Linked DNA regions of Stegostoma tigrinum. The protein of the gene in region 3 interacts with the protein of the main gene of each other region in a pairwise test. Links are inferred from orthologs where the notes say so. Each region holds a gene or a part of one and is shown on either strand. Other genes may lie near its edges. The genes, in order: nurim-like, zdhhc22 and trim59.

Region 1 (10,965 bases), on a different chromosome or scaffold from region 3:
ATCCTTCCCCACTTCCCAGACAACGGGGAGCGTCCTCTGTAATGGTGACCTCATCAAATACTGTTATACTTTCAAAAGCCTCTATTAGGCAAGCGTTCAGCTTTCCTGATACTGCAGAAATTAGTTCCAAGCTGTTCCATCCTTATGAATGCTTACATCCTATTGGTTCCTTGCAATTTATTTTGGACCTGTTTGTATTTCTTTACTCTATACACAGTGTATGACCATATTTTATATTAATGTAAATGACATGCACAGTGATGCAACTGTGAACTGGTTTTGTCCAGTGCGAGATTAACCCCTCAATAAGTCCCCACTCTGTGGTACTGGACTCAGCACTAGACTTGTTGTTGGCTTATGCCCAGCATTTTCTCTGCATTGCCTTGGTGCTCTATGTAGGCCATTTGGACGTGGAGCCTTTGGTCTGTAAATACACTGTGTTGTAAGTCATTCCCACACCACGTTGGACAAGATTTTAAACCTTTCTGTGGCCTTATATCTTCCCATCTCCATAAACTCAGCATCCCCCACAATACCCTCAAATCATGCTGGGAATGTGACTCTAGCCTCCTGTACACTCCCTTCCTTTCAGCCAAAATTGGTGTTGGGACTCACAGGTACAGAGCCCAATCCCCAAGATGCATTCAATGTCCTCTCCGTCACTGATTAAACATTCAATTACTCCATGCCCCACTCACCCACACACTGTTAAAGCAAGCATTTATTGTCCACCTCAAACTGCTCTTGAGATTGTGGTGGAGAACTGCCGCATTGAACTACCGCAGTCACTTACAATGCTGCTGGGAACGAGGTTCTCGGATTTTGATCAAGCGACAGTGAAGGACCGGCAATACATTTCCAGGTCTGGGTGTTTTGTGACCAGGAGGGGAATTTGCAGGCGTTGGTGTCCCCACGCATCTGCTGTCCCTGCCTTTCTAGCTGGTGGAGGTCACAGGTTTGGAAGGAGCTGCCAGAAGAGCCTTACTGAGTTGTTGTAGATGCTACACACTGCTGCCACTTTGCCTCAGTGGTGGAGGAAGTGAATGTTGAAAGTATTAGATGGAATGCAGATCGAGTGGGCTGCTTTGACAACAATAGTGTTGAGATTCTTGAGTGCTTCTCAAGCCCCTTCTTTGGCTTAATATCTTCTTGTTTTGATTACAATGAGGTTTGTTGTGTCATTCTTTTATGTCAAAGATGTAATATAAATATTGGTTATTGTTGTTGAAAACAACAGTTCTGAATCTATGTTATAGAACTGGTATACATTCCCCTTGCAATAGCAGTGTTGGTTCAACAATAGCCCAGTGCTGCCCTCTTCAGTATCTTATGTTCATTATCTGATATCGATAATGAGCCACACCCAACTTCAAAAGAGAGCTTCTTGAATTTTGTTGGACCTGCACCCACCCAAGCAAGTAGGGAGTGTTCCATCACACTCCTGAAATCTATCTTGTAACTGGTTGCCAGGCTCTGGGGAGTCAGGAGGTGAGTTACTCACTACAGGATTCCAGGCCTAAGACCTGCTCTTGCAGCCACAGTACTTACATGACGAATGCATTCCAATTCCTGGTCAATGGTAAACTCTTGGATTTTGATAGTGGGAGATGTAGTGATGGTAATTCCATCAAATGTCAAGGGATGATGGTTTGACTCACTCTTGTTGGAAAAGATCATTGTTTGGCACTTGTGGGGTATGATTGTTACTTGTCACTTGTCAGCCCAGGCCTGGGTATTGTCCAGGTCTTGCTGCAGTTGGGCTTAGACTGCTTCAGTATCTGAGGAGCTGTGAATGGTGCTGAACATTGTGCTATCATCGGCAAACATTCCCACTTCTGATAGGGGGGGATATCACTGATAAGTAACTGAAGATGATCAGGCCAAGACGCTACCCTGAGGAACCGCTGCAGAGATGTCTTGGAGCTGGGATAACTGACTTCCAGCAACCACAACCACCTTCCTATGCGCCCGGTATGAATCTAACCAGCAGATGCACCCTATTTATATGCAATGGCATCTAATCTGTGGTGTCATGGCCAGGGAGAGGGTCATGAAAGTCGAGAACATTATGAGATTCATGTGCAGTGATGAATGTTGAACTGATCATCACCATATCAATTACCAATAGCATCGAGCCCCATAGATAATGCAGTTGACCATGAAGATCCAGAAGTGTCTCAATACCTTGAGATGCAAACGCAGTATTGAAAGAACCTCACAGGTACGTCTTCTAGGTACAACAAAAGAGGAGATCCACTGCATTGAGGATGTCTGAGATGACTTTTGGGGATACAGTGTATTACTGCTTTTAGGGCCTTGGCCTTATCTCTTGTAAAGATTGAGATCTGATTTGATGGCTACAATCAGAAGATACTTGGAGGAGAAACAGCACCTGTAAAGGGTTTAGCTCAATGACAAGTCCTCTCCAAGCAAGAATCATGCAGATTGAAATATCTGTTGGACTGTCTGATGTAAATTCAGAGGGATGCAAGACAATTGGTTGAATTAGAAAGCAGACGAATTTCAGTCACATGCACATTTCAAAGACTGGGTGAAATGCTATAATGTTGGGGAGGCTGTCCACGAATGTGTGTCAGCAAATTCACGACCTATCATCGGTGCTGACAGGTCAACATAAAAGCAAAATACAGAGGATGCTGGAAATCAGAAACAAAACCTGGTGCTGGAGAAACTCAGCAACTCTGGCAGCAACTGTGGAGTGAGAGAGTTCTGTAGACGTCATATTTGTCTTGAAATATTAAACTGTTCCTCTCTTCACAGATGCTACCAGACCTGCCAAGTTTCTTTGTTTTTATTTCAACATTGCTGACAGTTTGGCTGTCAATAAACAACTCAATGTTGGCTAGCCTTGTGGTCTCCTAGTTCTACTGATTCTACACCTCCATCTTTGGTTGAATATCCTCTCAAACTAATGAAACAGTCTCATCTCTTATTAAGGGAGCCATCTCACCTACTTTTCTTTTTGTCTATCGCTTCTAAATGCCATATATCCTTGGATATTGAGTAGCCAACCTTGGTCACCCTGGAGCTACATATTCCCAGTTGCAAGTAGATCATACCCATTTATCTCAATTTATACAATCAAATAATCAACAGCTTTGACAACACTATGGGCACTCAAGAGTGCCTTTAATTCTGCTTTTTGAAAAAATTCTACTTGTATTTGATGCTTGTTTGTTATCTGTTCGGTGTTCCCTTGTAGACTGTGTCTGATATCTGTGAGCCTGACATTGGTGGTGGTGAAGTTGTTGGAGGTGATTCTGAAAGACACTATTTACATAAATTTGGAGAGGCAAGGAATGATTAGGCATTTCCAACATGGTTTTGTGCGAGGGAAACTGTGTCTCACAAACTTGTTCGAGATTTTTTTAAAGAAGTAGCCACTACGTTAGATGAGGGCAGTGTGGTAGACGTTGTTCACTTGGACTTTAGTGAAGTCTTTGATAAGGTTCCACATGGTAGACTAATCAGTAAAGTCATATCACATGGGATTAGGATTGTCTTGCCAATTGTATATGAAACTATCTTTACAATGGGAGATAGATGGTGGTGGCAGAGGGTTTTTTTTGTATGAAAGCCTATGACAAGTGGTGTTCCACAGGGACTGGTACTGGGCCTGCTTTTGTTTGTCATTCATATAAATGATATGGATGAGAATATAGGAGGTACAGTCGTAAATTTGCAGATGACACCAAAATTGTGGTATATAGATTAGTGAAGATGGTTATCTAAGATTACAAAGCGATCTTGATCAATTGGGTCAATGGGCTGAGGAGCAGCAGATGGAGTTTCATTCGGATAAATGCGAAGCACTGCGTTTTGGCAAAACAAACAAGGGCAGTACTTACACAAGTAATGATAGGGCCCTGGGGGTAGTGTTGTAGAATGGAGAGACTGAGCGGTCCAGGTAGTTAATTCTTTGAAAATTGTGTCACAGGTAGAGAGAATGGTTAAGGCATTTAGCACGCTTGCCTTCATTGCTCACACCTTTGTGTACTGGAGTTGGGACATCATGTTGAAGTTGTCCAGGACATTAGCAAGGCTTCTTCGGGAGTACTCTGTGCAGCCTTGTTGCCCTGTTACAGGAGGCATATTATTAACCTGAAGCCAGAAAGGATTAACCATGATGTTGCCAGGACTGGAGGGTTTGAGCATGTCTTTTTTAAGGTGAGAGGAGAAAGTTTGAAAAAGGACATGAGAGACAACTTTTTCTTTTTACACACAGCGTATGTTTGTGTGTGGACGAATTGCCAGAGAAAGTGGTGGATGCAAGTGCAGTAACAATGTTTAAAAAACGTTTGGATAAGTACATGAGTAGAAAAGGTTTGGAAGGATATGGGCAGAGGTACATGGAAATAGTTTAGCTTGGGAACATGATTGATGTGGACTCTTTGGGCTGAAGGGTCAGCTTCCATGCTGTACAAATCTATCTGCTTGGTCATGTCTCCTACAATTCAGTCGCATTATTGGGTGCCCCAATACTACCCTCCACAATACTGCTGGGTCAATGTCTGCTTTGTACTTGGTCAGTAGCTGGTGTTCCCTCAGTATTCATCTACACAGTACTGGAGTGTCATTGTGGGGTGATCCCTGCAGTAGGGTAAAGTCAGTGCCTTGTGTTTGTCCAGTGTCAATACTAGAGGGTTAGTATCTGGTATTCCCTTAGTCCTGTCCTCTGCAGTATCAGAGGATCAGTGTCTGCTGCCTCCCCCAGTATCACCCTGAGCAGTACTGGAGAATCAATGCCTGACGTTGCCCCAGTGTCACCCCCTGCAGTACTGGAGGGCCAGTGTATACTGCTCCCCACTGTCTCCCCCTGCTGTACAGGAGGGTGAGTGTCTGCTGCTCCCCACTGTTGCAGCACTTGAGGATTAAAGTCTGCTGCTCCAGAGTCACCCCATGCAATACTTGAGGATTAATGTCCGCTGCTCCTCAGCATCACCCCTGCAGCATTACAGAATCAATGTCCAGTGTTTTTCCAATGTCGCCTCCCTACTCTGCAGAAGTAGAGGGTCAGTGTCTGCTACACTCTCAGTGTTGGTTGCTGCAGAAATGGACGGTTAGCGTCTGCTACAGTCTCAGTGTCGACCCCTGCAGTACTGGAGGGTCCGTGCCTGCTGCACTCTCGGTGTCGCCCCCTGCAGTACTGGAGGGTCCGTGCCTGCTGCACTCTCGGTGTCGCCCCCTGCAGTACTGGAGGGTCCGTGCCTGCTGCACTCTCGGTGTCGCCCCCTGCAGTACTGGAGGGTCCGTGCCTGCTGCACTCTCGGTGTCGCCCCCTGCAGTACTGGAGGGTCCGTGCCTCTGCTCCACCTGATCCTGTGGTTCTGCCCAGGCCCGAGCCCGCCATGTTGCTGCCCACCGTCTTACCTGCCTCGGGGCCTGTCGCCGCCCCTCCCGGTCTCCTGCTCTCCCGGTAAATCTGCCGCAGGGAAACAAACGCCACGAACTCGGCCGCGCTCCACGAAACGAAAACAAAGTTGGCCAGGGACAGGCCGACAAGGGCGGCCGAATGTAACACGGTCATGGCATCGGAAGAGGGAACACTTCCGGGTCATTGGGTCGGGCGCGCCGGCCCAGTGGTAGCGGATGTGAATGTTAGGGGGAACTTTCATTGTCGCGGTGCACGCTGGATAGAGAAGCCCTCCATCACCCTGGCTCCTCAGGCAATAAGCGAAAAGGAGGAATATGGCGTTCCCGCCGTTAATTTTGGGAAGAAGTAAGAGACGACCAGTCATGGATTGAGAAAAGAAGAGAGAAAAAGACGGATGCTATGCTATTGAATTCTGTAAAATCCTGTGGTGCTTGACAGGGCAGGTATTACAATCGACGGCATCCGCTGTCGGGATCTCCCATTTATGGCAGAGATGAAGCGAAATTCTTTCTGGCATTGTTTTAAATCTGTGGAATTCTCTTCAACACGCCCATTGGCTGATCTGCTATCTTAATTCCACTTTGCCTGTGCTATATCTAAATCTCCCAATTAAATTGGTACCCCGAAAATCTTCTCCCGACATTTTGAACGCACTCGAGTGTCCACGGCTATTAGGTGTAGAGAATTCCAAAAATCCATAACTCCTTGAGTGAGAAAAATCTTTTCATCTCTGATCCATTTGGGCGTCCCTTATTTTGAATCTACTTATTATATTGAATTTGACATGCTAGTTGGTAAATATAGAAACAGGAGGTTTAAAGACAGAGATAGAAAATTGATGTAGGAGGGAAGATATCAGATTTCCCTAGCATTGGCCAATTGAATCATTTAGGATGAATGAGATGCATTTTAGCAGGACTGCACCGGGAGATTCGATAGTGCTGTTAGACAGGATTTGAACTAGATTGTTAAGGGAATGGGATCTGAGAGACAGTTCACATTTGAAGGGAAGCAAAGCTAATGAAAGGAAATATAAAAATGGAAAGTAAAATTGCAAATACATTAAGAATAGGCAAAAATAAAGAAAAACTTGGTAGAGCATAATGTAAGTAAAAGAGAATTAAAAGCTATTTATGCCTTACTCATCTTTAAGACAAAAAGCTGATGATTTGAAGGCACACAATGAGGTAAATTGGGGTGATATTATTGTCATTATAAAGCATAGCTGGTGACCAAGACTTGGAATTGAACATCGAAGATAGTGACATTTAGGAGGAAGAAGGAGAAAGGAAAAGGAAGTGGCGCTGCACCTTAATAAGGGCCTAGATCAGTACATTAGTATGAGCCATGACCACATTGAATGATAGTGCAGACTCAATGGATTGATGTTCTGATGTTAATTTTAGAGGACCTTAGATCAAAGCTGTAGAATCAGTTTGGGTGGAACTAAGAAACAGCAGGAACAGAAAGCAAAGGGTTTAAGGGTGCCAAACTCTTGTAGTTATGTTGGACACAGTATAAACCAGAAAATCATGGATTTATGTAACCTGTGTAATACAGCAATGATAATAAAATGTGAGGCTGGATGAACACAGCAGGCCAAGCAGCATCTCAGGAGCACAAAAGCTGACGTTTCGGGCCTCGACCCTTCATCAGAGAGGGTCTAGGCCCGAAACGTCAGCTTTTGTGCTCCTGAGATGCTGCTTGGCCTGCTGTGTTCATCCAGCCTCACATTTTATTATCTTGGAATTCTCCAGCATCTGCTGTTCCCATTATCTCGAATACAGCAATGAAAGGCGATTTCATGTGAAAAATAGATTGGGTGAATGAAGTCAGTGCTAATGCTGTGAAGAATGAATTGCTAGCGTGTGTATGAGATGGAGGAGTATATTAAGAAACCAACTATCAATTGGGATATTTTGTATTTAGAGCTGTGTAATAAAACAAGACTAATTAATAACCACACTAAAGGAGCCTTCGTGAAATAATGACTATAGTATGATAACATTTTGCATTAATATTTGAATGCAATACGGTTCTGAATCTCGGAGTTCAGTTATGAATAAATACACCGTTATGAATAAGTTGACTATGGTGGATTTTGAAAATATTTACAAAAGGATTTGTCAGTAGACAGGCAATGATGTCAACGTTTGCAACAGGTAAACTTTCCTGAATGGAATGAAACTGAAGGGTGTGTGGTTAATAAAAGAAGATAAAGATTGCATTAGATCTTTATAAGCCAAAGGAAGTGAGACATGGATGCTAGAAAACTGTGGCAAGACTAAGAATCAGGACCAATTTAGAACCCAGCAAAGGAAGAACAAATATTAAAAAAAAACTAAAAAATAATAAATGAAAATATAACAAGGAAGCTTCAAGAGAACTTGAACAGGCTGAATTAACGGGTATGACATGGCAGACAGGATATAATGTAAATGAGAATGAAGTTATTTATTTTAATAGAAAAAGGAAACAGAAAAGCAGAATATTTCTTAAATGGTGAGAGATAGGAAGTGAAATTAGAACATAGAAGATAGAACAGTGCAGCACCGTACAGGCCCTCCGGCCCACAGTGTTGTGCCGACCTATTATCCTACTAAGATCAATCTACCCCTGCATACCCTACATTTTACTATCCTCCATGTGCCTATTCAAGGGTCGCTTAAAAGTCTCTAAATTATCTGACTCCACTACCACTGCTGGCAGTGCATTCCACGCTCCCACTGCTGCAGACCTTGGTGTCCTTGTTTTTGAATCACTTCAACTTAGTGTATAAATGCAGCAAGCAATTAGGAAGTTAGTCTTCACTGTGACGGGATTTGAATGGAAGACTAAATATGTCAAGCTGCAGTGGCATAGAGCATTAGTGAGACCTCATCTGGAGTGTTGTGTACATTTTTGCTCCCTTAATCTAAGGAAGCATATATTAACCATAGAGGAACTGCAACAGAGGTTCACCAGATTAATCCCAGAGGTGGAGGGATTGTTTTATGAAGGCAAATTGAGGAGTTCTGACCTGTATTCTACAGAGGTTTGGGAAATTCAAACAAAACTTATAAATTTCTTACAAAGTGTGGCAGAATAGATGTAGGTAAGACGTTTCCCAGGGTGGTGAGTCTAAAATCAAAGGATGTAATCTCAGGATAAAGGACAGACAATTTAAAACTGAGATGAGGGGAAATTTTCTCACATGAAGGATGATAAAACATAGAGAACTATCAAATCTAATTACACGAAGGAGATGGAGAAAGAGAAGGAACAATGTCGACTGCTGTGAATGATCAGTCAAGATTTAAACAAATGGTGTAGTGGATTTGATATTTCCCAGAGGCAAGATTTAGAATGGGTTCAGCACAGCATTTTAGTTATTCTTTTAACCACAGAAAATGTTGCATCACTTGTATGCTGCCCAAAGGTAGTCCTTTGGCTCATTACCTGTTGATGCACCATTCTGAGTCGTTTCATGGCAGATTTTGTGTGGTGATGGATTTTCATTGTCTTTCATTTTAAGGGAGAGAGCCAGGGGGAATGCACCAAGTCTAGCTGATCTGGGGCAGGAATCAAATCTTTGTTTTTAGTGTTATTCTACACCGTGCATTTGCCATCTGGGCTGATCTCCCTGCTTAAGAAAGACAAAGAGGAAAAGAGTGTGTAAATGTTAGAAGGAATGTGGTGATGTAGTGGTAATGTCACAGAGAAATATTTGACAGCTAGGCTATCACAGTACATGAATGAACATAGACTTATAAATCTGAGATTAAAAAGCAGCATTTGATTGTTTAACACCCTGTCTAGTTCAGTAATGCACTGTAGAAAATGAAATCTATCATCCTGATCTGGTTTGGCTTATGTGTGAGTCCAGATCCACAACAATATGGTTGATACTTAACTGCCATCTGAAATGGTCCAGAGAGCAAATCTGTTGTATCTAACTGTGATGACTCTTCAGGAAAGGAAAACATAATCTGCACAGGCCACCAGCATTGATCTAGGTACAGAACTGACATCAGAACCAGCCCTGACAACTCTGTAAAGTTTTCCTTGCAAAATCTTGTGCCAGAATTGGAACAGTTGTGCCAAAGACTGGTTGACATACTGTCTGACTAGTCAAATTCATGGAATCATACCTTACAGGCATGATTTCAGGCACTACCATTATCATTCTTGGGTATTTCCTGTCTTGCCAGCTGAATAGACTCGTTGGAGGTGGTGGTACAGTAGTTTACGGTTGGTATAATCTTACCCTGGGACTCCAAAATACTCAATCCAGACTTCATGAAATCTCACGTTATCAGGTCAAACAATGGCAAGGAAATCTCCTTCCTGTTACAATCTGTCTCTCTCCTGTCTCCCCTCCTTGCTTAATGAATTAGTACTCCTTGATGTTGAACACTAATTGAAAGAAGAAAGAGTTGCACTTGAAGTGGTGGGGGAAGGTGATTGATGCAGTGGTGGACGAGTTTAATGTCCTTCATGATGAGTGACTTGGTAGCACCATTACTGACCAAAACCTAAAAGGACACCACTTCTAGACTGGGTTGTATCAGGGAAATAAATACAGCAAAAACTTTATACTTAACAATCTACCTGTTACAAATGCATCTGCCCTCGACAGTGTTAGCAGGAATGTTTGCCACAGAGTCCTTGCAAAGATGTAATTCTGTCTTTTGTTTTCATTTTGTGTTGTGTGGCACTGCCACCATGCTAAATCGCTTGGAATTTGAAGAGATCTGGCAACTCAAAACTGGATATCCCTGAGGCACTCTGAATCCTGCTTTTGCAGAATGCCCAATCAACCACACAATGTATTGTCATGGCTTGAGATATTCCCCCATTCCAGAAACGTGATCAAGCTGGGGGACCAACCCTGCTTCATTGGAGAATGCAGGATGGCATGCCAACAGCAGCACCCAGGCATTTCTAAAAATGAAGTGGCAACGCATTCATGCTAAAATACTTGCACTTTAGATGCAACTTATGATAGGCAGGGCTAAGTGACCCTACAACCAACATATCAAACCTATGTCTAAAGCCCTGCCGCATCCATTTGTAAATTATGATGGACATTCAAACAATTCTCAATAGGAGAGACTGCAAACTACCATGTCCTCAATGTTGAGAAGCCTAAATCATTAGTGTAAAAGACAAGGCTGAAGCATCTGCATCCAACTTCTGCCAAAATTGCTGAGCGTACAATATGTCTGTTCCTCATGAGGTCCTCGGCATCACAAAAGCCAGTCTTCAGTTAATTCGGTTCACTCTACATGACATCAATAAACAGCTGCAGGCTTCAGATATTGCTCAGGCTGTGGGCTCTGGTAATGTTACAGAGAACTTGCAATCCAGAATTTGTCGCAGTGCTGGACAAGCTGTTCCAGTGAAACTACAAAACTGCAAATTACCCAACAATGTAGAATTTTTCTGGTATATCCTGTCCAATAAAAGCAGGTCATCTAACCAATTGCCATCCCATCATGTTACTCCTGATCATCAGTGTAGTTCTGGCCGGGATTGTGGGTGGTATTATCAAGCAGACTCACACGGCAATAACTTGCTTCATGATAATT
Region 2 (11,068 bases), on a different chromosome or scaffold from region 3:
TCAAGGCACAAGGGTATTGCTGTGACCAGGTCAGCATTTATCACCTATCCTTATTTGCCCAGAGAGCAGTTAACAGGCAACTTGGAGTCTGGAATCACATGTAGACCAGGTAGGAATGGCAGTTTTCTTCCTTAAAGGAAAGTAAGTGAACCAGGTACGGTTTTCTGATAATCAGCAACAGATTCATGGTCATCACTAGATTCTTAATTCCAGAATTTTATTGAATTCAAATTCCACCATCTGCTGTGGCAGGTTTTGGACCCAGGTCCCCAGAATGTTACCTGGGTTTCTGGATTAACAGTCCAGCAATAATGCCACTGGGCCATCTCCTCCCCTGAATTCATGCCTACTCTTTGTTTCTGTCAACCTGTTCTCAACACATTTCAGTATGCTACTCCCAATTCCAAGTGCTTTAATTTTCCATGCTAATCTGTCAGAGTCATACAGCACAGCATAAAAACTGAAAGAACGGCGGATGCTGTAAATCAGGAACACAAACAGAAGTTGCTGGAAAAGCTCAGCAGGTCTGGCAGCATCTGTGAAGAAAAAAACAGAGTTAACATTTTGAGTCTGGTGACCCTTCCTCAGAGCTTATTTCCTTCACAGATGCTGCCAGACCTGCTGAGCTTTTCCAGCAACTTTGTTTTTGTTCGTACAGCACAGAAACAGACTCTTCAATCCAACTTGTCCGTGCTGACCAGACATTCTAATCTGACTTACAAAGAACTACTGCACAGGAACAGGCCCTTCAGCCGTCCAAACCCATACAAAAACATTTTGCTCTTCCATACTATAAATGTCATCACTTACAGGATCTGTATCCCTCTCTTCCCTTCCTATTCATGTATTTGTCCAGGTGGTTCTTGAATCCAAAAGGATGTGGATGCTTTGGAGAGGGTGCAGAGGAGGTTCACCAGGATGTTGCCTGGTATGGAGGGCACTAGCTATGAAGAGAGGTTGAGTAAATTAGGATTATTTACATTAGAAAGACGGAGATTGGGAGGGGGGGGGGGCCTGATTGAGGTCTACAAAATCATAAGGGTATAGACAGGGTGAATAGCAAAAAGCTTTTTCCCAGGGTGCAGAGGGTGGGGGGCACCTGGAACGTGTTGCCGCGGAGGTGGTAGAGGTGGGCCTGATAGCGGCATTTAAGATGTATCTAGACAGATACATAAATGGGCAGGGAGCAGAGGGACACAGATCCTTGGAAAATAGGTTTAGATAGAGGAGCTGGATTGGTGCAGGCTTAGAGGGCTGAAGGGCCTGTTTCTGTGCTGTAATTTCCTTTGTTCTTTGAATGTTGCTAATATGTCTGCTTCCAGCACCTCCTTTGGCAATGTATTCCAAGCACTCACCACCCTTTGTGAGAAAAACGTGCCTTGCACATTTCTTTTAAACTCCACCCCCCCCCCGCCTTGCACCTTGAACCTGTGTCCCCTACTAACTGACCCCTCCACTCTGACAAAAAGCCTTATACTTTGCATTCTATCCATGCCATTCACAATCTTGTAAACTTCTACTACACTTTCCAATCAATATATCTACATATATTGGTCTATGTAAAATTTGTGGTCGTAACTGTGTCAAAAAGTGCTCTGCAGTTCTCTGAAAACCAGAACTTTCTATTTGTCAGATGCTAAGAAAAGCATTCTACAGAATTACAGTGTTTAATCTCACTCGAAAGAGAATCTCTGGGCCTGCATGATCAGAAATGGAGTTCAAAAATACCATCACCAGTTGGTGTGCTGATCAACTAACATCATTCCTTGGGCTGGTCATTTTACAAGAAACATGTTTGGGAATCCCAACCTCCACAAGATAGACAACACACTGGACTCCGAAGAATTTTGTTGCTGCTGCTGGGGTTTCCAGTTCGTCTTCAGTTTCCAAGAGTGATGGGGAGAGGTGTGTCTGCCATCTGGAGGGCACTAACCAGGGAGCCATGATCCAGGCCATCCCTCTATGCCTACTGCATCCAGAGGCCATCCAGTAGAGGAAAACCTGCCCACAGGATTGGGCCTGGATTTGACGTTACTGAAATAAGAGGCAAGATCCCATAGACACGTATCATTCCCTGCCTGATGGCACCACCACCCACGTCTTCCATTCCCCTTTCCCTTTCTGTATCCTGAAGTCATGGTTTCCACCGTGATGCCCTGGTCCACTCCTGTCATTGCCAACAACATCCCTCCCCTCCCTCAACACCATCCAACAACAACAGGAAATGGAACTCCTGCTCTTTACCTCCTCATTCTCCAAAGTGCCAAGCGCTGCTTCAAGGTGAAGTAGCAATTTATTTATGCTTCTTTTAATTCAGAAAACTGTGTGCAGTACTCATGATGTGGTCTCCTCAACACTGGAGAGATCAATAGAGGCCCCTTGGTGGAATACTGTCTTTAATTTTGCAAACGTGACCCTAAGCTTCTGATTGCCTATTATTTTAAATTCTTTATTTTGCTCTCCTCTGACTTCTCAATCTTTAGCCTCCCGTTGTGTTCCAGTGAGGGTCAATGTAAGCTTGAGGAACAGCTCCTCATCTTTCAATGAGGCAAATTACAGCCTCTGGACTCAATGCTGAATTAAACAATTTTAAAATGCAACGTCTCACCCCACTTTATTTCCTTTTATCGTTGATATTTGTTCTACTGTCATTGTTCTCAGACAATAGCAGCCATTCACATCTCCACCCCTCATTATAGAAGCTCCCTGAACTGCTGAGTACAAGTCCATAAAATGTAGGGCCAGAAATAGGCCATTCAGGCCATCAAGACTGCTGTGCCATTCATGCACATTATGACTGATCTCATAATCCTCAAATTCACTTTACTCCCCTTTTTCCATAACCTCCCATCACCTTACTGACTAAAAATCTCTCTCAACCTTGACTGAACTCAATGCCCTAGCCTCAACAGCACTCTCAGGTAAAACATTCCACAGGTTCACAACCCTCTGAGAGTCAAAATTCCTCCCCAGGACATCTTAAATGAGCAATCCCTTATTCTTAGATTCTGCCCTCTGGTCTGAGACTTTCCCCCAAAGGGAACCAACCTCATCGCATCTACCTTTTCAAGTCCAAAGAATCTTATAGTTTTCTCAGTTTTCTGTATTGCAACAAGTACAGACCTAATCTACTGAACTTCCTTGTAAGACAATTCCTCCATACTTGGTATCAACGTTCTCTGGACTGCTTCCAATGCTGTTATATCTTTACTTCTGGCAAGAAATAATTTTAGTAAGACCTCTCTATTTAATACTCCATTCACCTTGAATGCAGTTTTTGTTATCACTGCAGATTTTCAGCAGCTGCAGTATTGGCTTTTATCACGGTTGCTGGAGGTTTTGATGCATCATGTACAACTGTGGGAAAGACCCTGTCCCATTGAGGTTTTCCTACATAACTTTGAATCCTGGTTCTGTATCCTCAGGGGTACAGAGACCCTCCAGCCGTAATGAGATAGCAGTTGAAACCATAGCCATGGAGATCAATGCTGGACTCTCGGGCCAAGGTGCTGGATATGTTTAATTGTTTCACAGAGTGGACGATACCATTCAATTTATCTTCATGTATCACAGCCACAGAACGGCACCCATCACACCCATTTACTGCCAAGTTTACCTTCTTAATCATTGGCTGCCAACAGTCTAGATCAATCAGCCTTCACCGCTCATTCAGTTTCTCACCTCCCCACTAAATACTAACATTGTTACAGGCCACACACCCACAGCTCCCAGTGTACCCACACTATCAAAAATTCAACCATGACAGCCACAGTATCCAATACATTGCTCCACACTCCCTGACTCATGTCCCTCTTTCCTCAAGTGTAGGGGTTTCATAAGGCAGCATGATCCAAAGGGAGAGAGGGACATCTGGCCTGCTCCAATCCCAATGAAAGAGATGCTGTCTGTCACCATGAAAGGACTATTGCCGAGGGCAAGTCCAGGGACAAGGCTAAATTTAATACCCTCATCACATTGTTCCCAATCTTTCTTCTCACATCTATTTCCTCCTTATCCCACATCCTGTCGAACTGAGAAGCTGTTGATGATGGCAGAAAGGCTACCCTCCTTTCATTCCTCCAATGCCACTCCCTCCTCACCGCAACCTCCCTCTCATCCCTTTCCCCATTCAGATTCCCAAGATCTGGAACTTGTCTGTCCAGTGGAGAAAACTGCTAATGAAGACAGTCACTGAATCTCACAGACACTAGGGTGAGTTCAGAGACTGACAATGTGTGTAATGAGAGAAAAGCTGGCATCAGCCTGCAGTGAGGTACAAGGATAGGATAAAGGGACTGAAGGAGGGAGAGAAAGAGAGTGACAGAGAGAACTATAGGCAGATAACTGGAGAGCAGGGCTGTATAGTGAGAATGGTTAACGGTGACTGTGATTAATGATAAATCTTGTTAACAGTGGGTGTGGTTAAAGATTTACAATGAGTGTGGTAAACAGTGGTTAACAGTGAAGGTGATTAATGGTAAACATCCTGAACATGCAATAACGCTGAGCATATCTCTATCTGCCTCTTTGCTGACTCTGTTTCACTCAGTGTTGCTCTTTTGATCGTATATCCTCTACATTCATTTTTTATTTTGTTATTTTCACAAGTTTTATTCTTGCTTTTACTCTGGGTCTCTCTCTATCTCTCATTCTCCTTGTCTCTGTGCCCTTTGTCCATGTAACCCTGTGTGCTCAGCCTGTGCCTGCTCTTGCTGTCTATCTTCTGTCTCTGCCTCTGTCTTCTGCCTTTGTCTCTCTCTGTATGTCCCTCTGTATTACTGTCTGTGTCGCTCGCTGAGTATTTCACCTTGTTTGACCCATGTCTGTCTTTCTCTATGTCTCTAAGCCTCTCTCCCTGGCTCCCTCTCTGTTTTCTTGCAAACTCTCACTATCTCTGATTTTCTATGTCTGTCTGTCTCTCGGTTTCTTCTGTATCCCTCTCTATTTCTCTCTCTGTCTCTCTGACTCTTCATCTTTCCAGGCCCCTTTCTCCCTCTGCCTCTCTGCATGAGGTTGCCTTCATGTGGGCTTCATTTTTGTTTGTGATGACTGCAGTCAGCCTGTCATTTATCAGACTGCTTCTATTGTTCTCTCTCTCTCTCTCTCGTTCTCTCGCTGGCCGTGCTGCAGACAGCAGTCTTTTTGAAGATGATGTGAAGCACTGTGCCTTTCTAAAGAGCTAAGAATAAATACCGGTGGTGATAACGGTGCTGTGAGCTCTCACTGCCCTTCTTGCTGATGGATGTTGTGGATGCAGTACCTGGATCTGAGATGTGCTCGTTATCCTGTGCCCCGATCCGGTGTCTGTGTTTGAACCCTGCAGCTCAGAACCTCCTGCCCTGCGATTGTGTCCTTGCTCCTGGGCCCAGTGTTACGGTGCTCCCCAACTGGCTGTAACCACAAACTGCAACCTCCACAGTTACAGCCTGTGCTTCAGTCACTGTGTGCAAACGAAGCCACAAATCTACTATTCAAACAGATCCCTCCAGTCTCCATTTGGAATGTGATCCTGTCTCTAGTATTACTATTTTTATCATAGAGTGTTGAATCTCATAACCTCCATGGAGTCATCAAATCATACTATGGAGAAGAAGGCCATTTGGCCCATCATGCTATATTATTAAGGTACTATACCTTTAAGACAGCTAGATGACATCACGAGTGTGGCACTGTCATATAAAAAGGTCTCCATCATATTTTCTGTACAGCTAACCCGATAAACAGAGGCTAATGAGATAGGGAATTAAAACAAAATACTGCAGATGCCGAAGATCTGAAATGAATGCAGAAAGTGTTGCAGAAGCTCAGCAGGCCTGGCAGCATCTCTGGACAGAGAAACAGAGTTAACGTTTTAAGTCTGGTCTGTCTCTTCTTTAGAAGAAGTGCCATGGGACTGTCTGTATAGATACTGCTAGATCTGCTGAGTTTCTCCAACATTTTCTGTTTTTACTTCAGCCGTCAGCCAATAACACAATAATGAATATAAGATAATATAGCGATCAGAGATAATGGGAACTGCAGATGCTGGAGAATCCGAGATAACAAAGTGTGGAGCTGGATGAACACAACAGGCCAAGCAGCATCTCAGGAGCACAAAAGCTGATGTTTCAGGCCTAGACCCTTCATCAGAAAAGGGGGATGGGGAGAGGATTCTGAAATAAATAGGGATGGAGGGGTGGGGGGGCAGACCGAAGATGGATAGAGGAGAAGATAGGTGCAGAGGAGAGTATGGGTGGGAAGGTAGGGAGGGGATAGGTCAGTCTGGGGAGGACGGAAGGCCAAGGGGGCGGGATGACGTTAGTTGGTAAGAAATGGAGGTGTGGCTTGAGGTGGGAGGAGGGGATAGGTGAGAAGAAGAACAGGTTAGGGAGGTGGGGATGAGCTGGGCTGGTTTTGGGATGCAGTGAGGGGAGGGGAGATTTTGAAACTTGTGAAATCCATTTGACACCATTGGGCTGCAGTGTTCCCAAGCGGAATATGAGTTGCTGTTCTTGCAACCTTCGACCATCTCCAACACATCCGTCACCCACAGCGCCTCATGGATGTCCAATCTTGTGTTGCTAGATCTGTACAAAGTCTGCCCCATTGAGCACGATGATCGAGCCACACAACACGATGGAGGTTGTTTTCAATGTGGAGGCAGGACTTTGTTTCCACAAGGGCTGTGCAATGGTCACTCCTACTGATACTGTCATGGACAGATGCGACTGCAGCTGGCAGATTGGTAAGGATGAAATAAAGTGTGTTTTTCCCTCTTGTTGGTTCCCTCACCACCTGCTGCAGACCCAGTCTCGCAGCTCTGTCCGATAGGTCCTGACCAGCTCAATCAGTAATACTGCTGCTGAGCCACTCTTGGTGGTGGACATTGAAGTCCCCCACCCAGAGTACATTTTGTGCCCTTCCCATCCTCAGTACTTCCTCTAAGTGTTGTTCAACATTGAGGAATACTGATTCATCAGCTGAGGGAAGACAGTATGTGAGTGGATATGTAATATTCAGCCAGAGGGTTCCTTGCCCATGTTTAACCCGAAGCCATGAGACCTCCTGGGGTCCAGACTCAATGTTGAGGACTCCTGGAGGAACACCCTCCCGAGTGTATACCACTGTGCCACCCCCTCTGCTGGGTCTGCCGCTGCTGGTGGGACAGGACATATCCAGGGATGGTGATGGTGGTGCCTGGGACATTGTCAGTAAGGTACGATTCTGTGAGTATGACTGTGCCAGGCTGTGGCTTGACTAGTCTGTGAGGCAGCTCTCCCAATGTTGGCACTAACCCCCTGATGTTAGTGAGGAGGACTTTGCAGGGTTGACAGGGTTGTTTCTGCCATTGTCTTTTCTGGTGCCCAGGTCAATGCCAGGTGATCCATCCAGTTTCATTTCTTTGAGACTTTGTACTGACTGGCCAGCGGAGGTGGTAGACGCAGACACGTTAGTGTCTTTTAAGATATATCTGGACAGGTACATGGATGGGCAGGGAGCAAATGGATACAAACCGTTAGAAAATAGATTACAGGTTAGACCGAGGATCTCGATCGGCGCAGACTTGGAGGGCCGAAGGGCCTGTTCCTGTGCTGTAGGCTTCTTTGTTAAACTCCATTTGGCAAACTTCTATGCATTCACCTAACCTTTCCGTATACACTTTTTCATTGCAACTTACTATTTTAGTATCATTTAGAATACTGTGTCCAATTTTGGGCCCCACACCTCAGGAAGGACATACTAGCCCTGGAGCGTGTCCAGTGGAGATTCACATGAATGATCCCTGGAATGGTAGGTTTAACGTATGATGAACAGCTAAGGATCCTGGGATTGTACTCATTAGAGTTTGGAAGGTTGAGGGGAGATCTAATAGCAACTTACAAGATAATGTATGGTTTAGAAGGGGTGGACGCTAGGAAGTTGTTTCCATTAGGCAGGGAGACTAGGACCCATGGGCACAGACTTAAAATTAGAGGGGGTAAATTTAAAACTGAAATGAGACGACATTTCTTCAGCCAGAGAGCGGTGGGCTTGTGGAAATCATTGCCGTGGAGTGCAGTGGAGGCCGGGACGTTGGATGCCTTCAAGGCAGAGATCGACAAATTCTTGATCTCAGAAGGAATCAAGGGCTATGGGGAGAGTGCAAGGAAGTGGTGTTGAAATGCCCATCAGCCATGATTTAAATGGCAGAGTGGACTTGATGGGCCAAATGGCCTTACTTCCTCTTACTTATACAGTAAATGGAAAAGTCCTAGGGAAATATACAGTAAATGGAAAAGTCCTAGGGAAAATTTATGAACAGAGAGATCTGGGTGTTCAGGTCCATTGTTCCCTGAAGGTGACAACGCAGGTCAATAGGGTGGTCAAGAAGGCATATGGCATGCTTTCCTTCATTGGGCGGGGTATTGAGTACAAGAGTTGGCAGGTCATGTTGCAGTTGTATAGGACTTTGGTTCGGCCACATTTGGAGTACTGTGTACAGTTCTGGTCGCCACATTACCAAAAGGATGTGGATGCTTTGGAGAGGGTGCAGAGGAGGTTCACCAGGATGTTGCCTGATATGGAGGGTGCTAGCTATGAAGAGAGGTTGAAGAGATTAGGATTATTTTCGTTAGAAAGATGGAGATTGAGGGGGGACCTGATTGAGGTCTACAAAATCATGAGGGGTATAGACAGGGTGGATAGCAAAAAGCTTTTTCCCAGAATGGGGGACTCAATTACTAGGGATCATGAGTTCAAAGTGAGAGGAGGAAATTTATGGAAGATATGCGTGGAAAGTTCTTTCCGCAGAGGGTGGTGGGTGCCTGGAACGCGTTGCCAGCGGAGGTGGTAGACGCAGACACGTTAGCATCTTTTAAGATATATTTGGACAGGTACATGGATGGGCAGGGAGCAAATGGACACAGACCGTTAGAAAACAGATGACAGGTTGGACAGAGGATCTTGATCGGCGCAGGCTTGGAGGGCCGAATGGCCTGTTCCTGTGCTGTAGGTTTCTTTTTTCTTTGTTCTTTGTTCCACTCCTATGTCTTCTGGTCTTATGGTCTTATCATAGAAACACAGAAATAAGGAACAGAAAACGGTTTAGGAACAGAAGTGTGTCATGTCCAAATGTAGAAATATAGAATATTGGAGCATAGAATATTCTCCAATATTGTATATGATCATGTTCAATCATATTACTCAGTCCCCTGTTCCTGCTGTTGCCCCATAATGTTCGATCTCTGTAGCCTGAAGAACAATATCTCCTTTCTGAAAACATTCAATGTTTTGGCCTCAGTTGCTTTCTGTGGCAAGAATTCCACAGGGTCATCATTCTCTGGCAAAGGAATTTCTCTTCATCTCAGTCTTAAACAGCCTAACACGTATCCTTAGATAACAAAGTGTGGAGCTGGATGAGCACAGCAGGCCAAGCAGCACCTCAGGAGCACAAAAGCTGATGTTTCGGGCCTGGACCCTTCATCAGAGAGGGTTAAGGGTCTAGGCCCGAAATGTCAGCTTTTGTGCTCCTGACGTGCTGCTTGGCCTGCTGTGTTCATCCAGCTCCACACTTTGCTATCTCGGATTCTCCAGCATCTGCAGTTCCCATTATCTCTGATCACAATTTTACCCCGTATCCTTAAACTGGTTCTGGACTCGCCATTCATTGGGAACATTGCTTCTGTGTTTACATTGTCTAGACCTGTTAGAATTTTATAGAGTTCAATGAGATCCCTCCTCATTTGTCCACATACCAGTGAATGCAGTCATAACTAATCAGTCTCTTAGTGAGTTTTGAGAAGATTTGTAGCTCAGGTTGAGGTTCTGGATGTGAGTTTGCTCGCTGAGCTGGAAGGTTAGTTTTTAGACGTTTCGTCACCGTTCTAGGTAACATCATCAGTGAGCCTCCGACGAAGTGCTGGTGTTATGTCCCGCTTTCTATTTATCTGGTCAGGTTTCCTTGGGTTGGTGATGTCATTTCCTGCATTGGTGATGTCATTTCCTGTTCTTTTTCTCAGGGGATGGTAGATTGGCTCCAAATCAATGTGTTTGTTGATGGAGTTCCAGTTGGAATGCCATGCTTCCAGGAATTCTCGTGCGTGTCTCTATTTGGCTTGTCCTAGGATGGATGTGTTGTCCCAAAGTGGTGTCCTTCCTCATCTGTGTGTAAGGATACGAGTGATAGTGGGTCATGTCGTTTAGTGGCTAGTTGATGTTCATGTATCCTGGTGGCTAGCTTTCTGCCTGTTTGTCCAATGTAGTGTAGGGATAACACATCCATCCTAGGACAAGCCAAACAGAGACACGCACGAGAATTCCTAGAAGCATGGCATTCCAACCGGAATTCCATCAACAAACACATTGATTTGGAGCCAATCTACCATCCCCTGAGAAAAAGAACAGGAAATGACATCACCAACCCAAGGAAACCTAACCAGATAAATAGAAAGCGGGACATAACACCAGCGCTTCGTCGGAGGCTCACTGATGGTGTTACCTAGAATGGTGACGAAACGTCTGAAAACTAACCTTCCAGATCAGCGAGCAAACTCACATCCATAATCAGTCTGTGTTATATTCATTTGTGGGATGTGGGTGTTGCTGGCTGGCCAGCATTTCCTGCCCATCCCTAATTACCATTGAGAAGATGGTGGTAGGTTGTCGTATTGAATCGCTGCTGTCCACCTGCTGTGAGTTGACCCTCAATGTTCCTTAGTGAGGAAATTCCAGGATTTTATTCTTGCGACAGTGAAAGAATGGCAATATAATTTCAAGTCAGAAGTAGAGCCAACAGGGGGTGCTGTTCCCATGTATCTGCTTACTTTGTCCTTCTAAATGGAAGTGGCTGTGGGTTTGGAAGGTGCTGGCTGGGGTCCTTTGGCAGTGCATCTTGTAGATAGTGCACAGTCTCCCTGCTAGCCCCTGAAAGGGATGACCTATCAGGGCTAGCAGCTGCAGCAGTATGGTCAGTGGCACTGTGACTGACTCTGAGGCTCAAGAGGGTAGGGGTTGAGTTAGACAGAGCAACACTGATAGGAGATTCAGTTGTGAGGGGGAGCGACAGAAGAGCGACCAGGATGGTGTGTTGTCTCCCGGATGCCAGGGTCAA
Region 3 (10,978 bases):
TTTCTTCCAGGTGAAGCAGCCATTTACTTGCACATCTCTCAAACTTGTTGAGTGCAATTGCTGTTCAGGTTGTGATCTCCTTTACATTGAAGAGATTGAATGTATACTGCTTTACAGATCTCCAACCTTCAGTTTGCAAATACCACACAGCTCCTGGTGACCTGTGCTTTCAATTCTCCACCTTGCAGTAGTGCAGACATCTTTCTAATTAGCTGTCAGCAGTGTTGCAATGCACCCCAATCTTAGATCAAGCAGCCACACCTTATTCAATTTTGAGTTCAATCATTTAATAATCTCAACCCTAACCTTGTTTCTTTTTAAAAAATATTTGCTGATTTTGTTTTACTCTCATGTTTTCATTTTCTGCTATTCTGTCATTTGTATCTCTACACACATTTTGATTTTTTTTCTTACTTGACATTTGCCACTTTGGCCTTGCTCTGCCAATCTTTTTGCCATTGAATCCTTCCAGCCATCCTTATCACAGACCTCCCACCCCCACCGTTTTGTACTTCTGGCCCTATCCCACACTTATTGCATCCCTTAGTTGTTGGGGTTTTGTGGCCCAGTCCCTTTCTCTGGGCAAGAAACTCTGGATCTAAGATTTTCTTTGTGACTTGATGGCTATGGACGGTGTATCATTGTGGCCAATTCTCAGTCTGTAAATTCTTCCCATATGCCAAAAGGCAGGTAGTGAGAATTTCCTGGTCAAAACAACAAAAAGGGTGATAGCTGTGACACCACAGCCCTTCCACTTCAAAGACTCCAGATGTTGCTTCTTGCCAGATCTGAGGGACTACCATAACCGGATGATAACAAAATTGGCGGTATAGTGGACAGCAAAGAAGGTTACTCAGAGTACAACAGGACCTTGATCAGATGAGCCGAGGAGTGGGAATTGGAGTTTAATTCAGATAAATGTGGGATGCCGCATTTTGGAAAGGCAAGTCAGGGCTGGACTTATACATTTAACTAGATACCCTACAATGTGGGAACAGGCCCTTCAGCCCAACAAGTCCTAGGTGCGTTGCCAAACAAAGAGACCTTGGAATGCAGTTACATAAAGGAGTCGCCGGTAGACAGGGTAGTGAAGAAGGTAACACAGTGTGGAGCTGGAGGAACACAATAGGTCAGGCAGCATCAGGGGAGCAGGAAAGCTGACATTTTGGGTCAGGACACTTCTTCAGACTCTTTTTCTGATGTGGGGTCCCAACCCAAAACATCAGCTTTCTTGCTCCTCTGATGCTGGCTGGCCTGCTGTGTTGCTCCAGCTCCGCACTGTGGTATCTCAGACTCCAGCATTGGTAGTTCTTACTAACACATAGTAAAGATGTTTTGTATGCTTCCCTTTGTTGGTCAGTGCATCGAGTATGGGATTTGGGAGGTCATGTTGTGGCTGTACAGGACATTGGTTAGGCAACTTTTGGAATTATTTGTTCAGTCTGGTCTCCCTGCTAAAGGAAAGATGTGGTGAAACTTGGAAGGATTCAGAAATGCTTTACAAGGACGTTGTCAGGATTGGAGGGTTTAAACTATGGGGAGAGGCTGAATAGGCTGGGGCTGTTTTCCTTGGCATGTGGAGGCTGAGAGGTGACCTTAAAGAAGTTTATAAAATTGTGAGGGACATAGGTTGGGTTATTAGTCAAGGTCCTTTCCCCAGACTAGGGGAGTGCAAAACCAGATGACACAGATTTTAGTTGAGAAGAGAAAGATTTTAAAAATGCCTCAGGGGCAACTTTTTCATGGAGAGAGTGGTATATGCGTGGAATGAGCTGCCAGAGGAAGTGGCAGTGGCTGGTACAATTACAGCATTTAAATGGTATATGAATAGGAAAGGTTTAGAGGGATATGGGACAAATGCTGGCACATGGGACTAGATTAATTTAGGATAGCTGGTCGGCATGGTCGAGTCAGACAGAAGGGTTTGTTCCGTACTGTACATCTCTATGACTGTTTGACATCTGTAATTGTTCCAAACTCTACACTAATCTTTTCTTTCTCTACAGATCCGCCTGATCCGCCGAGTATTTCCAGTGAGCTTTTTTTTAAATTTCAGATGTCAAGCATCCAGAAAATATCATTCACGTTTGCTTGCATCTCCGGAAACGATACCAAACCATTCACTTCCTTGTTAAATCAGAAAGCTGTTGTTCATATTGGAGTTTTCCGATTCTACTGCTTCAAGCCGTTGACGTTATGTACTCTCGAGGGTTTGATTGAGAGAAGATAATCAAAATTGTGACTTCTTTTGACAGACAAACCACGAATTATACCTATCCGCTCAGGTAGAAATTTCGGAGTTAACCAAGACCTAAAACGGCCCAAAATCCTCGGATGCAGAGGTTGTTAGTCAGTGAAAAATGACGCTTTTCAAAGTCACTTTTTCGATAAACTGTAAAACACCGTCGTTACAAAGGAAACCTAGAAAATACAGAACTGTAGGTAGTCCATTCATTCCGCTAAGCCTGCTGCTGAGGCTGCTTATACACTACTGTAGTTCACTGAACATCAATAAAGTCTGAAAACGATTAAAGGATGCTCAAAACAGCAGAGTACCTTTGCGTAATTAGGTGAGGAAAGCCAGCAAAGCCAAAATAAAACTCCGCTAGCTTAATAACCTTGCAAATAATGGGCAATCCTTTTCAATTCTGTCTCCATTCGATTATCAAGGAGATTTGAGAGTGAATTATTTGTTCATAACACCTGAGACCACTATGGATGAGGATAAAGCCTCGCGCTTCCCAGCTCAATTAAACAGTACTCTTTCGATAAATACATTGGTACAAAGGTTTTTACTCACACAGCAGCTTAAGAAGAGGCAAATAAAAATGCAGCTGGAAATTAGATTTTCTACTATTAGAAATGTAACAAGATTCCAGCCCCTGCACGTTTGAGAGCTGTGTCTGTATGATGTAAAAACTGAAACTGCTGGAGAATCCATATTGAAGAGAGAAACAGAGTTAAATTTCAAGTCCAGTCTGACGCTTCTTCAATATTTGTGTGAGTGATTGGCTACAAGCCCCACTATAACATTTCAAAGCTGAGGTTCCATCGGGAGATATGCCTTTGTGATCAAAACGAAACACGTGTGAAATATAAATTCCCATCAGAGTGCAGTAGCAAGCATAACATTGCTAAATAACATAATATTTAAACATAAGATACCGCTAGCGAGTTTTGAGAAGATTTGTAGCTCAGGTTGAGGTTCTGGATGTGAGTTTGCTCGCTGAGCTGGAAGGTTCGTTTTCAGACGTTTCGTCACTTTTTTTATTTGAAAAAATATACTTTATTCATAAGATGTACAAAAAATAAAACATATTTATACACACCTACCCAGTCATGCAAGCCACTCCGGCTTACCCAGGGGGTACGTACACCAGCTAAAGGCAAAAAACAAACAAAGAAGAAAAAAAACAAAGCAAAGAAAACACCCCGGCAGTCGTCTCCCCGCACAGTTCCCGTTGGCCCCCTGGCCAGTTGGGGAAGGCGCCAGCTGGGCCCAGTTACCAGATAGGGTTCTTTTTCCTATTCTGGACAAGGGGTTTCATACCGTGGTCTTTCCCCACCGCGCCTTGGCGGTGGCTGCCCCAAACTTTAGCGCGTCCCTCAGCACGTAGTCCTGGACCTTGGGGTGCGCCAGTCTGCAACACTCGGTTGGGGTCAGTTCGTTCAGCTGGCAGACCAGCAAGTTGTGGGCAGACCAAAGAATGTCTTTCACCGCATCGATGGTCCTCCAAGCGCAGTCGATGTTGGTCTCGGTGTGCGTCCCGGGAAACAGCCCATAGAGCACGGAGTCCCACGTCACGGAGCTGCTCGGGACGACCGACCTCACCATCAAACCCGCAGACAAGGGTGGCGCAGTGGTAGTATGGCGCACTGACCTCGACATCGCCGAGGCCAGACGCCAACTCTCCGACACCACCTCCTACCACCTCCTCGATCATGACCCCACACCCGAGCACCAAACCATCATCTCCAACACCATTCACGACCTCATCACTTCAGGGGACCTCCCACCCACAGCCTCCAACCTCATTGTTCCCCAACCCCGCACGGCCCGTTTCTATCTCCTTCCCAAAATCTACAAACCTGCCTGCCCTGGTCGACCCATCGTCTCAGCCTGCTCCTGCCCCACCGAACTCATCTCCACCTATCTGGACTCCATTTTCTCACCTTTGGTCCAGGAACTCCCCACCTACGTCCGTGACACCACCCACGCCCTCCACCTCCTCCAGGACTTCCAATTCCCTGGCCCCCAACACCTCATATTCACCATGGACGTCCAGTCCCTGTACACCTGCATTCCGCATGGAGATGGCCTCAAGGCCCTCTGCTTCTTCCTGTCCCGCAGGCCCGACCAGGCCCCCTCCACCGACACTCTCATCCGCCTAGCTGAACTCGTCCTCACACTCAACAACTTCTCTTTTGACTCCTCCCACTTCCTACAGACTAAGGGGGTGGCCATGGGCACCCGCATGGGCCCCAGCTATGCCTGCCTCTTTGTAGGTTACGTGGAACAGTCCCTCTTCCGCACCTACACAGGCCCCAAACCCCACCTCTTCCTCCGGTACATTGATGACTGTATCGGCGCCGCCTCTTGCTCCCCAGAGGAGCTCGAACAGTTCATCCACTTCATCAACACCTTCCACCCCAACCTTCAGTTCACCTGGGCCATCTCCAGCACATCCCTCACCTTCCTGGACCTCTCAGTCTCCATCTCAGGCAACCAGCTTGTAACTGATGTCCATTTCAAGCCCACCGACTCCGACAGCTACCTAGAATACACCTCCTCCCACCCACCCACCCTCCTGCAAAAATTCCATCCCCTATTCCCAATTCCTCCGCCTCCGCCGCATCTGCTCCCACGATAAGACATTCCACTCCCGCACATCCCAGATGTCCAAGTTCTTTAAGGACCGCAACTTTCCCCCCACGGTGATCGAGAACGCCCTTGACCGCGTCTCCCGCATTTCCCGCGACACATCCCTCACACCCCGCCCCCGCCACAACCGCCCCAAGAGGATCCCCCTCGTTCTCACACACCACCCTACCAACCTCTGGATACAACGCATTATTCTCTGACACTTCCGCCATTTACAATCCGACCCCACCACCCAAGACATTTTTCCATCCCCTCCCCTGCCTGCTTTCCGGAGAGACCACTCTCTCCGTGACTCCCTTGTTCGCTCCACACTGCCCTCCAACCCCACCACACCCGGCACCTTCCCCTGCAACCGCAGGAAATGCTACACTTGTCCCCACACCTCCTCCCTCACCCCCATCCCAGGCCCCAAGATGACATTCCACATTAAGCAGAGGTTCACCTGCACATCTGCCAATGTGGTATACTGCATCCACTGTACCCGGTGCGGCTTCCTCTACATTGGGGAAACCAAGCGGAGGCTTGGGGACCGCTTTGCAGAACACCGCCGCCCAGTTCGCAACAAACAACTGCACCTCCCAGTCGCAAACCATTTCCACTCCCCCTCCCATTCTCTTGATGACATGTCCATCATGGGCCTCCTGCACTGCCACAATGATGCCACCCGAAGGTTGCAGGAACAGCAACTCATATTCCGCCTGGGAACCCTGCAGCCATATGGTATCAATGTGGACTTCACCAGTTTCAAAATCTCCCCTTCCCCTACTGCATCCCTAAACCAGCCCAGTTCATCCCCTCCCCCCACTGAACCACACAACCAGCCCAGCTCTTCCCCCCCCACCCACCCACTGCATCCCAAAACCAGTCCAACCTGTCTCTGCCTCCCTAACCAGTTCTTCCTCTCACCCTTCCCTTCCTCCCACCCCAAGCCGCACCCCCAGCTACCTACCAACCTCATCCCACCTCCTTGACCTGTCCGTCTTCCCTGGACTGACCTATCCCCTCCCTACCTCCCCACCTATACTCTCTCCACCTATCTTCTCTACTCTCCATCTTCGGTCCGCCTCCCCCTCTCTCCCTATTTATTCCAGTTCCCTCCCCCCATCCCCCTCTCTGATGAAGGGTCTAGGCCCGAAACGTCAGCTTTTGTGCTCCTGAGATGCTGCTTGGCCTGCTGTGTTCATCCAGCCTCACATTTTATTATCTTGGATTCTCTAGCATCTGCAGTTCCCATTATCTCCGAAAAGAATATGATCGCCAAAAATTTTAGCGTTTACTAGCTGCACTGTTGGGTGTGCCCGCTTGCATTCCGCCAGGATTTACTGAAAACTGTTTGAAAGCTTCATAACAATTTTGAAAAATTCAAATCCGAGCGGCTCCCTCGACTATTCGCTGCTTTTTGAAGAAGGGGTTTTCCAGACATGCGCTGTGTGAATTACCGAGCTGGAAGATTGAAGGGTTAGCTGGGCCAAGCAGCAGAAACTCGGCTTCGTTCAATGTTCTCTTCAGCCGCCAGGAGAAACGTGCCCCAGTCCCGCCGCGTGTTCATTTTGCCTGGTGAGTGGTCTCTCTATTGTCCCTTGATTTCCTATAGGGAGGGCTGGCAGCGAGAGCCAGCTACAAGCCATCCGCTTCATGGTTAGGCCTTTATAAAATCAAATGTAGAATAAAGATTTCGCAGTTCGAGTGCACCTCCTAATTCACCGCGAACCCGGGAATCATGAGGAAACTGACTCTCACTTGTAATGACCACTGAGCGGGAAATGAGCCGGGGCAACATTAACTCCAACATCGTCCCCCTCCAGATAAATAACAAAGCAGATTGGCTCCGTTTGGGTGAAATCGACACTAAGAAACGGACAAAAAAAACCGTTTTTTTCTTTAAATAACATTTACTGAAAATCGGTCGACCATCTTTCCGTGTTTGATAGAATCCCAATTTGAGATCTGAACTATGAGAAAGCTAAAATAAATGCGTCAATTGCATTTCAAACCTTTCTGACAGTACCCTGAAAACAAAAACTAAAACCAAAGTGGCATGAAAGCCGGTGATCTGCCTGTTTCACTGTCATTGTTTAAAAAAATATCGTATGCAACTAGTGACCTACAACAAATATTGTACAAAAACATTGTTGTGGGTGCAGTATTTAGCACAATATGTTAAAACACCGCTCTCAGCATTTGTTACGTTTTTACCTCACTGTGGTTCATTCTTATTTAAAATTAATGAACTGTTTATAACCAAATTAACACTTTATTGTGTAGCTTGATGTGATAGATGTGTGAAGTTGAGAAGAGATATCTATGAAATCTTGCCATTGAAATCATTTGGGGTAAACATTGACGTTGACGCTTGAACACTTTCCATTGCGGCATATTTGTTTACATATTCTCTCAATTTCTTCAAACAATGAATGAAATGAACTGTTGTAATCTTTGTAATTCACTTGGAAAGATCAGCTGTTATAATGCCTATTTGGGATTCCATTGTGTAAAGCTGTTTTCTGTGATGCCCTTATGACAGTCAAGACATCCTCAGCCTGGCTTTAGTTCTTTCCCTACACAGTTGCACTCGAAGATATTCTGCCATTTCTATCAGATTGAGATTTCTATAACAAGAAGTCTACATTGATATGAATTTCAGATGGTGCAGATTCTGTCCTCAAATGAATTCTTCCTTTGTGTCTGCCAGATACCCTGGACCATAAAAGGGATTAATTGCAAGCTCTCTAGCTTTTTATTAATTCCTTTTCACAGTACAGTGATCCTCACACAAAGGGAATGTTGAAATAAAAGCAAATCATTTTATTATTTTAAATAAGTCAGCATAAATTAAAACAAGAAATAAAAGTCTTTTTAAAATAATTATTTTCCTGTTATCAACATGGGCATGTCACCTTTCCTGAAGAAAAAATGTTTTGATGAATGTATACCCCATAGATTGCAGCAGATCAAAATCATTCGTCGCCACCACCTTGTTGAGGGCAATTAGGGAAGCACAACGACTGCTGATGTAGCAGCAATACCCACATCCAGGGCAATAGCAACAAAATCTGGGAAATATACTTGTCACAGTGACCAATAACAAAATGATGCCACTACATATTTTGGGGTAAAATGGCATTGGAATGCAAAAATATTAATAGATGAAGCAATAGTTAATGAATTTACTTGAGTGACTACATCGCTTTGTGTGTCAGATTTAAAACTATCAACATTTGTAGGTTTCTAAGTTTTGTTCACTCATAATTGATAAAAAGTCTTTGTTTAGAAAACAGGTCAAATCCATAGAAATACATAGAAACTTCTGATCAAAATTTGAATGCAGTATTTCCAAACTCTGTAGCCTTAACATGATAACATTCCACTACATTTCAGTGCTGTCATGTAATTTTGTTTTGCTGTTCTTTTGTTGTTTACCCAACATTCTGTATGTTGGTATATGAAACAGATTAGCACCTAGTTATATTTGTAGTTCAATTTCCAGACAGATAATACTGGATAAGAAATGGCCCCTCAAGAGAAAGCAAGTTATCTATTTGCCTTTATTGTTTCTATATGAAGCTGCCATTATCATCAATTTCTCAAACTCAGTTTTGAAATTCTGTAAACCTAATCTTATTTGGGAAAGCTAGATTCTAATAGTAATTTCTAGCAACAAATTTGTGAAACATGGAAATTGACGTTTTCCTAAAATGACAACATGTATTTGCACATTCAAAATTAATGACAGAAAAATAACAACTGAGAAAATGTTACTCAAATTTGTGAATTGCCTACCAGTTATTGATTTAAGCAACATTTGCTTTTCAGCAATTGCTACTAAAATTATATTACTGGAAATTCTATTGGAGGTTCACTAATTGACAACAATATTGACAAAGCAAGCAATATATTTGGTGACAAATCTGTGCTTTGTTGGTATTGTGGCTACAATTGACTTCACCTTACTATTGAGCCAAGGAACAAAACATTGCCATGCTTTGTTGTGAAGTGTGAAAGTCTAGGAGCATGGCAAGAATTTGTCCCTGTGAACTCATATTCCAGATGTGCGCTCAGAACCCAGGGGATAATTTGTTTTGTAATTCTGCATGTGTTACAAAATATCTGTTGGGCAACAGTTTCCTTGTTATGTCTTTATTAGTTTATCCTACATCATGATTTACTTGTAACAGTATAATTACCATCAACTGATTTTAAAAAAAATAGTTGACCTGAAAAGGCTAAAATGTAGCATTTATTCCATATACAGGGGTCAGTAATGGAGAGAGAAACGGTTTCTCACAGTACTTTATACAAGTTTATGCTGATTTAGCCTATTGAATTTATTGTGACAAAGACACATTTTAAGTGATATTTAAAATCTAAAGCAACATCAGGCCTTCTAGTGATTAATGTGATTGTATGGTAAAACTTTTCAAAAGAACTTAACTGATCCTTTGAAATAAAACCTTCACAGACATGCATAAAGTACACAGTATTGCATAAATAGAACATCTGAATTATTACATAAAATGCATGAATTTTACAAGTGGCTGATCTACACCCAATGGACATCAAGCAACGGTTTCCAAGCAATTTTGGTAGCCTCAAGTACGTGCATTCCTACAATGGCCCATTCAGGAACAATTTTGAATGCAGTTGATGACCAGGATGCAAACTGTGCCAAAAATTACACTGGGTGTTGAGAAGTGTTTTGTTTCTCTATCAATTTTCAGTTGAGTTTTATTTAAGTATCACCATACCTGAAATCTGCCCTGTAATTTAGAACACACTTTGAACCCTGGGTGATTTGGTGATGGAGGAAAAATAAAGTTTGGAATGTGTAAGGACACTTTTAGAAATAAGGAGAGAGAAAAAGAAAATAAAAAAAACAGAACCCACTTTGATTTTAAAAAATATTCCTTGCTATATGAAACAGAGACCTGGACTGTTACTCCAGAGATTGATTCAAATCCTACCATGACAGCTCGTGAATTTAAATTCGATGAAATAATGAATTTGAAATAAAATATTGGTCTCATGAATTGATCAGAAACTATTTGATTATGCTTAAAAACAAAACTATCATGTTCACCCAAACCCTTCATGGGAGGAAATCATCTGCCCTTATCAGATCTGGCCTATCCATGATTACAGACCCACAGCTAGGTGTTGACTTTTAACTGCCCTGTGAAATGGAATAGCAAAATACTCAGTTGTATCAGTCAGCTACAGACTGCACTGGGAGTGGCTACAGCACTGGTTCCTTACAAGCAGAGAAAAGAAAAATTATAATGGGGAATAAGGAAGGGCAGTGCCGTGAAATATATATTTTGTTTTCACAGGAGAAGATACAAGGTGTATATCAGGTGTATATAGGGGGTAACTTAGGGACTAAAAAGAAAGTGAGTCTTTAGGTAATTAATATCAAAGATAAATTACTTTAGTTACTTGAGGAATTAACATCTGACGTCCCATGGTATTGATGGCTTACACCCTTGGATTCTCATAGAGGTAGTTGCAGAGATAGTGGATATGTTAGCTATGGCTTTTCAAAATTTCTTAGATTTGGGAATAGTCCCATCAGATTGGAAGTTTACAAATATAGCATTGCCTTTTAAGAAATGAGGGTGATACAAACCGGGAACTACAGGCTGGTTGGTCTCATCTGTCATTGGAAAATGCTGAAATGTGTTGTTAAGAAAGTCTGAACAATGAACTAAGAAAAACAAATCATGCCTTTTTTTTAACTGTCAAGATGAGGAAGGATTTCTTCTTTCAGGAGTTGTAAATCTATTGAATTCTTTGCCATAGACAGGTGTTGGAACTGGATCATTAAGTATATTCAAGGTTGAGATAGTCAGATTTTTAAGCGGGAAGCGATTCAAGATTTGTGGGGAAAAGGCAGGAAAGTGAATGTGGGGACTATCAGATCAGCATGATATTATTGAATGGTGGAGCAGATTCAATAGGCTGAATGGTCTACTTTGTATTAATGTCTTATGATTCTGCTGAAATTTATTTATGTATTGTGATGAAGTGTGTCATTTATATGTACACTTTTTTAAAGAGTTTGAATTTTAAACCAGTGAAGATGTTTAATAATCAGATGTT

The links.
Region 1: the proteins of trim59 (region 3) and nurim-like interact in binary tests that used the Homo sapiens proteins (3 or more experiments, as listed by UniProt). The two-hybrid records come from large-scale screens. The link is inferred for Stegostoma tigrinum from reciprocal best matches to the Homo sapiens genes TRIM59 and NRM.
Region 2: the proteins of trim59 (region 3) and zdhhc22 interact in binary tests that used the Homo sapiens proteins (3 or more experiments, as listed by UniProt). The link is inferred for Stegostoma tigrinum from reciprocal best matches to the Homo sapiens genes TRIM59 and ZDHHC22.

The regions. Positions count from the first base shown.
Region 1 is NC_081387.1:14,530,804-14,541,768, forward strand, and holds the start of nurim-like, read right to left. Parts: upstream 5,598-10,965; 5' UTR 5,549-5,597; coding exon 5,392-5,548; intron 1-5,391.
Region 2 is NC_081363.1:775,410-786,477, reverse strand, and holds the start of zdhhc22 (palmitoyltransferase ZDHHC22), read right to left. Parts: upstream 5,387-11,068; 5' UTR 5,261-5,386; intron 1-5,260. UniProt on the Homo sapiens protein: Palmitoyltransferase that could catalyze the addition of palmitate onto various protein substrates and be involved in a variety of cellular processes. Catalyzes the palmitoylation of KCNMA1, regulating localization of KCNMA1 to the plasma membrane.
Region 3 is NC_081367.1:27,478,176-27,489,153, reverse strand, and holds the start of trim59 (tripartite motif-containing protein 59), read left to right. Parts: upstream 1-6,020; 5' UTR 6,021-6,439; intron 6,440-10,978. UniProt on the Homo sapiens protein: E3 ubiquitin ligase involved in different processes such as development and immune response. Serves as a negative regulator for innate immune signaling pathways by suppressing RLR-induced activation of IRF3/7 and NF-kappa-B via interaction with adapter ECSIT.